2 linked regions of the Drosophila melanogaster genome follow. The protein of the gene in region 1 interacts with the protein of each later gene in a pairwise test. Each region holds a gene or a part of one and is shown on either strand. Other genes may lie near its edges.

What was found. The genes of interacting proteins can lie anywhere in the genome.
Region 2: the proteins of Irbp18 (region 1) and crc interact in a two-hybrid assay, tested with the Drosophila melanogaster proteins (2 studies listed by BioGRID, with this or other methods).

What each region holds. Positions count from the first base shown.
Region 1 is NT_037436.4:11,095,481-11,100,687, forward strand, and holds Irbp18 (inverted repeat binding protein 18 kDa), read right to left. Parts: upstream 2,707-5,207; 5' UTR 2,662-2,706; coding exon of another isoform or gene 2,631-2,661; coding exon 2,520-2,630; intron 2,393-2,519; coding exon 2,162-2,392; 3' UTR 1,966-2,161; downstream 1-1,965. Other genes in the region: CG46439 (uncharacterized protein), read right to left, coding at 1-569; CG33947 (uncharacterized protein), read left to right, coding at 1,533-1,581, 2,612-2,661; APP-BP1 (beta-Amyloid precursor protein binding protein 1), read left to right, coding at 3,205-3,272, 3,330-3,494, 3,551-4,196, 4,263-4,596, 4,659-4,907, 4,967-5,079; Elo68beta (elongase 68beta), read right to left, coding at 5,202-5,207.
Region 2 is NT_033779.5:21,308,036-21,315,089, reverse strand, and holds the start of crc (cryptocephal), read right to left. Parts: upstream 4,225-7,054; 5' UTR 4,058-4,224; intron 3,898-4,057; exon of another isoform or gene 3,559-3,897; intron 3,338-3,558; 5' UTR 3,216-3,337; coding exon 3,047-3,215; intron 2,993-3,046; coding exon 2,882-2,992; intron 731-2,881; exon of another isoform or gene 194-730; coding exon of another isoform or gene 113-193; exon of another isoform or gene 1-112. Other genes in the region: CG46314 (uncharacterized protein), read right to left, coding at 113-193; mondo, read left to right, coding at 6,303-6,802.

The DNA.
Region 1 (5,207 bases):
TGTATATTAAGATGTGGCACCAGGAAAAGAAATTCATTATAGTAGCGAATTGAAGGACTCATTATCTCTCCACACTTCCTTCGAGCACGTTCGATAATGGTGTATTCCCGCTCAAAGAGCGTCCTTAGCTCCTCCAGACAGGATCTCAGTTCCGAGACGCTTCTTCCCGGAAATGAGCGCACCATTCTGTTGTAGCAGTCATCGTCGATATCTTTGTTACCATAGTAGCGATTATGGCGGTTGTAAAGGCTATTATGCTTGCTATAGAGACGTATAAGCTTCCTGACATCATGATCCTCCAATGAGATATGGTTTCCATTTGTCTCACTCTGATTCCTCGCCCGCCTGTCTCGTTTGCCAAACAAAAAAGAGAGAAATCCCCCGGATTTCTTTGTTTTCTCGATGCTATTGGGTGTTTTAGGTGGATCTAGTGATGCCAAAGCGGGCTTAATGCCTCCTGCTGACTGACTGTGGCTGGAACTGATCCTGGAGGAGTGGAGATGCATTGGCGTCACTAGGCAACTCGAAGCGGAACGCTTGAAGTAACAGTGCCTGTGTTTTGGTTCCATCCTCGGCGATCTGGCGCTTCAGTAGCGTCACATTCGGGTTCACCTCGCTTTCAACGGTCTTTGGGTTCTTTAATGGCAACAGCATTATAAATCGAAAAAATTTTGTACCATTATCTGGAAATATAACTTTTGTAATCCTGACTATTTTTTTTTTACTTTTTTTGGGGTGAATGTAAGTGTCACTGTGAAGTTTTTTCAAATGCTTGGAATTATATACCAATTTTTGCAAATTTCATAGACAATATGATTAACTTAATATTTAAAATATAAGTCTGACCAGGATTTTAATATAAGAACATAAACAAGATAAAAAAAAATTTTCAAGAATTTCAACAATTTCAAAACAACCACGCTTTTTAACGGTTTTTAACGAAATACTGAATCAGCTGTTCCTCGCTGAAAACTTTGCAACACTGCGCGAGAGAAAAAAGCGAGAGCAAGGCCGTGCAGTAAAAGAGCGAGCGAGAGCGGCCAAAACAACCAAAATAAAGTTACGTGAAATTATAAATAAAAAATAAGGAAATACACGTTCAGCTGCCGACCAGCCAAATACAACAAAGCAACGCTGTAAAAACTGAAAACACATTTCAGTTTATTTCGCCTCGTGCCATGTGAGCAACTTCAAATTGATATTGAATCGGAATCAGTGTGCGGGTGGTGCTAATTAGCGGAAGACGGCAATTTATTGAACGCGAAAAAAGCCCCACAATCCAACTTCCATTTCGACACGAAACCAACCACCCGCCAAATCAAATCGCCGTCGAGTTGTGCATCAAATGAATGTGCGAAAAGTGCAGTAAATCAATGTTTTTGTGAGTGTTTGAAAGAAGAAGACGGAAGGAGCGCCCACAACAAAAGCAAAGAGAGCAAGACCTAACGGGACACCCGAAACCAAAAACCTATCGGCACAACGACACTTTCTCAATAGCTATAGTTTTAGTTCATATGTTCATATCTCGGAAAATGGACGAGGTCTTTAGCCTACACATGGAGAAATTGGACGTTTACGACGGTTAGTATCTAATTTGCCGGAAGTTCTACTTAAACGTAGAACATATGTATATGATGGAATCTGGGTTGTATTTCTGATTAATGAGTTCATCAACTTTCAAGGAAATAATAATAGTAGTAGTAGTTGTAAACAGCTGAAGTATTGGGTATAAAATAACACTGATATGGGTAAAATCATAATAGACACTTTATTTGATTCAAGACTCGCATGATTTTAGCTGTATGAATCATGTCGAAAATAATAGAAATCACTATTACTAAATATAGATAATTTTAAAATTTAGATTCAGTGCAACATGGATACAGTGATTAAGTGTTACAATATAAACAAAAGTAAAAGAAAAGTACAACAAAAACAAGTATTTGGTGAGAAATGATAAAAACTCACCAATAATGAAAACCATTTATGTAGGATTTTAACAAACACTGTTCTCGTCTGCATGAGTGCTTGTCTTTGTAATAGAATTCGAGCAATTGCACCATTTTAATCGAAAAACTAAGATGATACACATGGTTAACAACCATGGGAAATGGCTTAAAAGTATGAAAATATAAGAAGGTAAATCAGGAGAAGCTCCTCGTTAGTCATTGTCCTTGGGATCGGGATCTGGTTCAGCGAGAATCTCCTGGATGATTCGATGGCCGTCCTCCGTTTTCTCACCCTGAATGATCAGATCTCTAAGCGTAGATATATGTTTTTCACTCGTCTCGATCTGAACCTTAAGAGCATCGTTTTGCTTCCTCAAATCATCGATGCGTTTCTTACGTTCCTCGGCCGATTTCTTGGTCTTTTCGCGTGTGCGCTGAACAGCCTGTTCCGAGAATAGTAATAAATCAATAGTGGGCATCTATTTTTGGGGACTTCTGGGGGCCACGGCGCCACAGCAACATGTTTCCCAATCTTTGCTCTCTGTTTACATCCAAAACTCTTAAACTTACCTCATTGTTTTTCTTTCTTTTTTCTTTGTACGCTGGATCGTCTGTGTGCGGACTTAATGGCGAATCGCTATTTTTGCTGGTCGACGCGGCAGTTCTCTTTTTGGCCGGCATTATCTCCGTGATAATACTGATATTTATTTAGTTCAAATTGGATCGCAATCGGACGGAAATGCAGAAGAAAACACAGCGATGTATGCGTTGTTTTGTTGTGAAATTACACGATAAAACAGCTGTTCATTAGCCCTCCCAGTGTTGCAAAATGCGCTGCCTACACTGCCCAGCCAACAAACAGTTAGCGGTATTATTTAATTAAATTAATTGCATGTTGAAAATCAATATTAAAACTCACCCAAAACCATAGCCATGGAATGCTATTCAAAAACTGTCAACCAGACACTTTATTTGGTTTGCTCAGACTTTCACTTTTTAATTTCTCAACTGTTTATACATTTTATTTGTAAAGACTGATTGCTTGTACGTAGATGTAGTTTAATGCAATAAAATTAAATGAAATGTAATACGTAATAGTCAATAAATGTTTTAAATAAGCAACAGTTAAAATTACCAACGTGTTTTTTCCAACACTCCACCCAATAAACAAATTGTGTCAGAAGTATTGGCTGCCGGCGCTTTACAGTACTGGATTATTTGCAACCGGCTTATTATTGCACAAAAATCTAGTGAAATGTCCTCGCCAGCCCCCAAATCGCCAGAGCTTTCGGATAAAAGCAAGAAATACGACAGACAAATCAGGTGAGGAGCGTTTTAATTGATAAATTCGGAAGCATAGCACTGATGACACCTATTTAGGCTGTGGGGAGAGCATGGACAGACGCTATTGGAGGCAGCCACAGTATGTTTGGTGAATGTTACGGCCGTCGGCTGTGAAACTGCCAAGGGACTGGTGCTACCCGGTATCGGAGGCTTCACTGTGGCCGATGGCAGCACCGTCAAGGAGGAGGATCTGGGCAACAAGTCGGTAGACCATCACACATTCCCTGACCACCATTATAAAGTCACTTTTTCCGTAGTTTCTTCCTCGATTCCAGCTATCTGGGCAAATCTAAAGCATTGGCTTGCATGCAACTTCTCCAGGAACTCAATCCCGACGTAAATGGCGATTATGTCGACGAGAGTGCCGACTTTTTATTAGCCAACAGACCGAACTTCTTCGACAGCTTCGATTTAGTGATTGCCTCCAATCTCAATGAGCAGACTTTGCTTCTCCTGGCCGAACGGTTATGGGAGCTTAACGTTCCATTAATCTACTGCCGATCGCTTGGCATGCTGGGCACAATACGCTTGCAAATACGGGAACACTGCATCGTGGAGGCGCATCCGGATAATCGACAGTTTGATCTGCGTCTGGAGCATCCATTCGATGCTTTGCGGGAGCATCTCGACGGCACCGAGGTGACCAGTAAGGTGCCCTGGTTGCTGGTTCTTCACAAATACCTTAATGTGTGGCAAAAACAACAAGCGGATGGGACTCAAACGCCTCGAAATTACAAAGAGAAGAATCAGTTGAAGGAGACCATTAGAGAGGAGATGAAGGCGGATGAGGAAAACTATGAAGAGGCCATCAAGGCGGTCAATACAGCCTTTGGAGCGGGACAGGTTCCCAAAAGCCTGAAAGCCATATTCGAAGATGATGCCTGCGAACAGTTAAACAAGAAGGTTGCCCATATAATCTGAATTTATACGTATACTTTACTTTCATTTGTTTTTCTTTTTTTTTTACAGAGCAACGTCTTTTGGATCATGGCCAAGGCCCTAAAGCACTTTGTGATACATGAGAATGAGGGCCATCTCCCTCTGCCTGGCGTTCTGCCGGACATGACTGCCAATACGGACTCCTATATCGCCCTGCAGCACATCTACCGCCAACAGGCGCTGCAAGACGCCGACCAGGTGTATCACAAGTGCCAGGAGTACCTTAAGCAGTTGGCTTTGCCTGCCGACAGCATTGATGAGAGAAGTGTGCGTCTCATTTGCAAAGAAGCAGCCGGACTGGCGGTCATAAGGGGTACACGCATTGCAGAGGAGTACGAGAAGAGCAGTCGCCTGCTACCACTGGGTAAAGATCTATCTATCTATTTTGGAACAACCTTAAATGACTTACCTTTCCTTGCCTTCCAGTTGAGGACAACGAGCTGCAGGGCAACCTCACGGCATACAACTTTGCGCTGCGCGCCTACGAGCGCTTCCTCAGCGAGTGTGGCAACATTCCCGGCGAGTGCATCGTTGAGCAGGACATTGGACGTCTGAAGAGCATTGCCGCCAAGATGCTTAGCGATTTGGGAATGCACGCCACCATCAGCGATGATGTTCTGCACGAGATTTGTCGATATGGCGGAGCTGAGTTGCATGCAGTGTCTGCTTTTATTGGTAAATATTCCATTTGGTTTATGCGTTGACCGATACTATATTCTGCTAATTCCTTTCAGGTGGCTGCGCTGCCCAGGAGGTGATCAAGATCATTACGAAGCAATACAAGCCAATCGATAATACTTTTATATACAATGCTATAACCACAGAAAGTGTCACATTGAAGCTATAAACAAATTGTATTTTCATAGAAATTGTACGTTCTTTTTATTCTGTGTCCCCAAATAACTAATTAAATTAGTCAACCAATTGAAACCCCTTCTATAATACTACTAACAAATTCGATTGCTATATTTACTT
Region 2 (7,054 bases), on another chromosome or scaffold:
TTGAGTGATTGGTTTTTATTGTGCGTCTGTCCTTCGGTTGCTGGATTTCTGTCCGTAGGATTCAACTGCTGCCGCAAAGTGGTCGGCGTGGTTGAAAATCTGAAGTTCCTGCTTAGCGTCGTTTAACCAACTTTTGCGAGTTTATCACAATTTCACGGTTCCACATGTAACGGTATCCACAGTGTGGTATCATGCTAACAAAGTCCTTGGAGCCCGCACTCGAACTTTCAGGTGGTCGCGATTGTCCCGTGAATCTGCAGATTTTCCGAGGTTCGGCTACATATAGTTTCCAATCGATGATCACCTCAAGTGGAATCTAGCCGTTTTGTTTTCCCCTGTGGCTTAAGTTAGAGGTGCGAATGGCCTTCGCTGCCAGCCAACTTCACAAAGTGGGAAAGCGGTATCCGCTTTAATGCTCAATGCAAAGATTCTGCACTTTATTTTAAATGATACACCAGATTTCCTTCATATAAATTATTTAACACATTTTTAATAATATTTTTATTTTCGATTGGCTTTTTAGCGTTTATAAAACGCGAAGACCTGTGCTTGTGTGGTTACTGCCTCTCTTCTTATTTGTTATTGTATTGTTTTATTTTAAGCCGTTTTCTTTGTGTTGGTGAGTAAAGACGTATATGTTCAAGACGTGTGAAATGCGGGGCGGCAATCAAAGTTAAAGCCGAGATTCAATTCGAGCGCTCGCGTCTGAGTAGCGAATTGTACTGAGTACCGACTGGAAACCGCGCATGGTTTTTGCTCGGCTAACTAGCGGGCAAGAGCGAGCGAGCACCACTGGGGAAGGCAGCGAAGCTCAGAGAGCGCCCTGCATTAAGATCAATCTGTTGGTTTATTTCGAGCCCGAGATGCTATCAGCTGAGACAAGCGGACAGTCACAATCTGCGCCAACGGACTCTGCACAGTGGTGCAAATTTAGGTGTTTTGTTTTATTGATCTGTAGCTGAACAAAAATGAAAATAGCTGGGAATTTGGAATCTGGTTTCTGAATATTTTTCCGTTTAACTTTCGTTTACTTTATGTCAAAATCAATATTTTACCACAGCATTGCTCAGCCCTTTTAGTTCTTCAAAAATTGCATTTCTAAATTACACAGGTTTTCTATACAGTATTATCAACAGCTTGCAGTGTGCACCTGACCAGTCAGTAACTTTCCACCCTTGACAACAATCAAGTCTCTGTGCAGGTTGCTCTCAATTTTAGTTGGAATAAAGATTATATTACTGAGAAAAATTCAGTAAAATTGAAACTCCACTTTCCATATGCATTACACAAACTATGTACAATGATATACTAAAATTATTAAAGTATTAGCAGAATCGTTCGTATATGCATATATGTACAATATACATGCTTGAGATGTTAATAGTAGTAATCTCCCAGCATCTTGAAATAACCAATATAACTTCATCTCCTTTTATTTAAAAGGTATTTATAAAAATCTACCTGAATGAGCCTTAGTGACAGTCTCAAAACAGGGGGCACGTCATCCGTAAAAATTTACATTTCAAACAAAGAAGCTTCCTGATCGACCGAAAAATACATACCAAAATTATGATGGTCATAATGTCAAATGGTTCATTGATCGCAGATACTTAATATATTTCACTAACAAAACATACACTATAAGATTAAGCTTTCAAAAGGGGCAGAGTCATAACCACCAGAGAATGGATCGAGTTCCTACCTTTAAAATCATACAACCCAGCTGTTATCTATTGAATTCTTAATGTATTACCCGAACGTCAGCAATGAGTCGAGAGAGATTGCTACAGAGAGAAGAGAGAGTCCAGCCGATCACTCGCTTAACGCGTGATCAAGTACGCAAAAAACCGATCAAAAACTGATTTCATTGCTCTCGCTTGATCTGAGTCTTTGTTGTGGCCTGGAAATTGGCCATTACAGCGCTTGCTTGGCGCTCCGTTGATAAACAATAATAAAATGCACGGTGAAAACCATAATACAAAAACACGCTCATGCTCAAGCTAAAGAGGGCCAAAATACCAGAAACATACGCTAACGAAAACAAAGCAAACTTGAAACCGGTTCCTCAACTTTACCTGTCGGAATTTTAGGTTCAAATGCGATGTGCGAGACCCTAATGACTCAGACAATGAAATCCACTTGATCTACACTAATTATTAAGAAAGAGCTCTATACAACAAAAGTTGAGTTTTAATATTTATATAAAGATCTTTTTTGCGGGAATTTTGCAGACGTTCAAAGCTCCTGCAAATATCTAAATATTTCATTTTTACTGATTTGCCATAGGTGTATTTATTTAAGATATTTGTATCTAATTGAAAACTCAATTTATTAAAAACTTCTAATATAAAGATCCGGACAATTTAAGGTTCTCAAATATTTTTGGAATATCAATAGAAATGTAATCCCTTTTTCAAATAATTGGTCGTGAGTATGCTTGCTTAATATCAACTTTCTAGCTCTTGTTGTTCCTGAGATTTTGATTATCACTCGGACATGGCCAAATCGACTCGGCTAGTAATTGAATAGAGTCGGAAAAGCTTACTTTTATTTATTAGATTTCAATGAGCCTAGTTTCCCATTGATCTACGAGTATCAGGCATAACTACCAATTATCTTATCATAGTAATCATAGTAACGGTCTTTGCTTTAATATTATGAGCTTCAAGTTATAAATAAAGTTATTTTGGACTTTGAAAAATGTAAGACTAGCAAACATTTGGGTGCTTTAATAAGAACTCTAAGAGGTCGTTCTTATGGGTTTAAGACCTCCTCGCAAATGGGTTTATCTACATTTTGCGCTCAGCTACAGTTACAAGAACATTTATTATTTTACATTATTATTATGTACAAAAAAGTAAGCACACTAAAATATACCTACCTTCATCTTTCAGGTCAAAGATCTCCACAACCATCTCCTCATCACTAAGCAACTGGAGAGAAGCTACCTCTTCCAGGGTCAAGGCTTCATCATCGCCAATAAGAGTAATGCCTTAAATTAAAATCCTTAAAAATCCTTTCAAAAAAACTTTTAGGCACCACAAACCATTTGCAAAGTTATCGTCATACAGCCACTCCGTATCGTTTGAGTCAGTGAGCGGAAACAGATCGGAGCCCAAAACCGATGTTGGGGATTGTGGCTCCATCTTGAGGTCCCAGTACAGCTCCTTGGGCAACTGCAAGCTCTCCATGGTTTGGTGAAATGTCGCGTCCATATCCAGAGTTCAAATCAGGGGTCAAAGATATGTTTTGTTTTGAGAGTATGAAATCCGGTCCGAAGAATGAGAATGGTTGTTTTCGCGGTGTGTTTTGTTGTTGTGAAAATGCCATGATGGCGCTGAGAATTAAAGAAACGAATTAATTATGATTAATTGGTTCGCTGTTCAGCCCACAGCTGTTTAATGACTTATCACGAGTCATAGTGATAATGAATAGTCGCTACCCTTTTAAAAACACTTTTAATCATTTTACTGTACCTCTTATATTCAAATTAATCTAAGGGTAGACTACATTCATTGAAAACTATGAAAGATAAATGTATTTTTAACATTTTATTACCAAGAGTCAATATTGCCGTGTCCACCACCAAAAAAGTTGAGATTAAGCACGCAAATTTTGATTTTAATTTTCTTTTTGAAAACTTCTTTCTCCCCTCTAGCTTAGTAATATAGTAATTATGTTTTAACATTTTAGGTAAATATAGAATGCAAGGGTAGAGCTGCAATCGCGCAGCCGGTTTAAACAGCTCTGTCCTGGGCTGTGTCCGCTTGGGGTAGTCCTTACTGTGGTGAGTCATCTCATTTTCGCACGTGCAGGCGACTTGCAACGCACATTACTCAACTCCAGTCGGCGATTGCGTCAGCCAATTTCTTTACCTTTACCAGGTGGCATGCCCCACTGAGTTTTGATTTGCCACGTTCGCCCGGTCAATTGAAAATCCATACAAGGCAATGCCACCAACACACGTGCAGCAACAATGAATGAGTAGAACGCCAAGTGCGGCAGTGTGCGTGATAAATTGCGAAATTAGCGAGAATTTAGCTTGGTGTATACTCACTTTTGATTTTTATACGTTTCCATTTTGTTGTGTTTGGGCACCTAGGTGCTGCTTGTTTTTGCTTGCGCGCAAACTATAGAGCCATCTTTAGGTTAATATAAATGCCGAAATCGTGAGAGAAAATAACAATTGAACCTTTTTGCGTTTCATTTGGAACGGTAATGAGTGTTGGAATCAGTGTTACCAGATCGGGAAATGCCTTGCTACTTTCTACTAAATAATCCCACCCCTTTTTCTCACAAATCTAAAGCGCACAAAATCATTCGTAAAGTATTATTAAATGACTATATAAAAATTTTGAACTGAACAGCAATTTCATTAAGAACCTTCTAACAGTACAAATGAAAAAATTCTCTGAAAGTATAATGTCTAATATAAGCCCGAGAAAGGTATTTAAGCAAAAGAACATGGGAGTGCGAAATCCTCTAGTCTGCTGATAAAGAATTAGGCAGTTACACTACTTTGTAACAAGGTGTGCAGTTTGAATACTTATTATTAAATTTTAACCGGAACTAATTCAATGTTTATCGATAGTTTTTTGATGTGTGATCACTAATTTTATTCTGGGTATTCTATTCTCTAACTTAAACAATATAGTGAACATAAAGGGAAAATATCCATTTTACATAATTTTTCCTAATTACTTAAGCACAACAATGTTTAAAAAACACATTACATTTGAGTATAATATATGTATATATTCTAGTTTTTCCTATTAGTCTCAACGCATTAACTTTTTATTGATGCGGTTTCAAGGTGCTGTCGGAAAAAGATATAATAGCAATTCCATAAAACTGGAAACTAATTACGGGAAATAGCCGTCCTAAATTCATTGTATTGCAATTTCGGAGCAGGAAACATATGACCTCGTATGCTGCCCTTCCCAATCTTTACGTTTGGGGTGATTATGCTCATTCTTGCGTTTTTCGGCTCGCAGCTTTCAGCCATTTTTAGGAAGAGGGTGCTGTTTATCAGAGCCACCAAATGCTTGACAACCCTGATGGGATGGTGAGGGCTCGCTACCCGCAATAGGTTAATGTGTGCTATATTGTGATTAAACTACGTAGAAGCTTTGTGTTGCGCGTGTGTGCGTGGTATTGGTAGTCCGTCGTGCCTGCTAACTGCCCGTGTTTCTGCTATAGGGGGCAGTTGCAGTTGTACCGAAATTGTGGTGCGCGTGCATGCGCGTGTATATGAGTGGGAACGGAAAAAGGCAAAATGCAAAGGCAGCGCTGAGCCAGAGGTCAAAAGTGCAAACACAGAACTGCTTGTGGAGTGCATACTCTGGATGGCAAGGCCGAATGCCAGGAGTCAAATCGACTGAGCTCCATATAGTAATAGTGGAGAGGGGGACAACATTGCTGCCTGACATCTGCGCATATAGAAGAACACGTACATACATACATATACATATGTATGTACGTTTTCCTAGCTGATAAGCAACGCTAGCGAGGTAGGGAGAGAGAGAGATTTCGCGTCAGCTGTTCATTGTTGTGTTGTGTGCGGCGCACAGGTTATGTGCGTTTCGCAGCTTCGTTCTCCGATCAGTTCTGTTTGTGGAATGAAACCGATCGTTCTGCGCTGGTTCTGCCCGCCTTGTTGGCCTTCCATCAGATCCGCGTGTGTTTACGAGTAGTTGGGGCTTCACTATCTGTTCAAGGAGCTACAAGCGGCCACTGACGTCTCGTTCTGACGTCCGTATCCCCAGCCAACCCCGCCGCGATTGTGTGTGTGTGTGTGTGTGCGAAAATTGTTGTTATTGTGCTGTGTGACGCATATAACGGCAAAAGCGGGGCGTGTTTGCCATTAGAGAAGCTTCGCTCCGGAAAAAGCAACAATTGGACAGGTGTCGATGACGAAAAGCTGAAGGTGTCGGGCATTGTAAACAAATCAAAATCTTAAAACCGTGCTATGTCTCTATCAAATAATCGCTTATTTTAGTAATTTAGTTAATAGAATGACAAGGACAAACACTAGATGAGAGAATTAATAAATGTGTTAACCACGAGGCAAGACAAAACATATTTTTTTTTATAGTCTGCGAACGTTTACATATTTTGAAATGATGGAAAAACCCCATCCAAATTAAAAAAGGGTCAGCACCAGCTTTTAAAAGCCTTTACTACGCGAGAGACATTAAAAAACCATTAAATGTGCCCTCGCCATATCGACATAATCTGCAACCGCCAAAATTTTGGCTCAACAGTAAACTATTTGCATAGGCATCCCCTGGCACCTGTTGAAAATGATGCTGAATAAACACGAGGGATACCAACGCACAAGCCAAATGTTTCCCCACCAGCAGCACCAGCTGCCTCAGCTGCACCAGCAGCCTTATCTGCAACAGTCTCTGTGCCAAAACTTCCAGCAATTGCAGTACGAAACGGGAGTAGGTGCTTCGGCGTCAGGGTCCGCCGAGGCTACGGCAGACCTGCTCAAGGCGGAGCGGGAGTCTATCCACTCCGGCCAGTTTATGGTCTCGCACTTCGAGGCAGAGGAGGCGCAGGACGACCTAGAGGATGACGGCGAGGTGAAGATGCTAGACCCTGAGGACCCCGGTCTGGGCAAGCCGGGCGAGCCAACCAACACATGTCGTGACGTGCAGCTTTACGTACCCCAAACAGTGGCCCACTTCAGCGCCATGGACCAGGAGGGCGACGAGAGCAGCATGAGCATGGTGACCTCCCACCTGGAGATAGAGACCTCGCTCACCAAACTCTTCAAGTGCATGAATCTGGCCTACAGGTGAGTTGAAGACTCGTACTCGAGACCACAACCGAACACCGGGGCCCTGAAGATTTATGAAATGTTGTTTCCCGCTTGTTCACGCGTTTCGAGCGTGATAACGCTCAACTGGCCAACGAAAATCCAGCAAACGAAAAAGCTTGGACCGCTTCGGTCCCATAATCGCGGCACATGTTGAGACGTGACGTCGCTGCTCAGGTTACTTTGGCCCCACATTGCCTCAATCGCTCCTCTGCCACCCTTTATACCCCT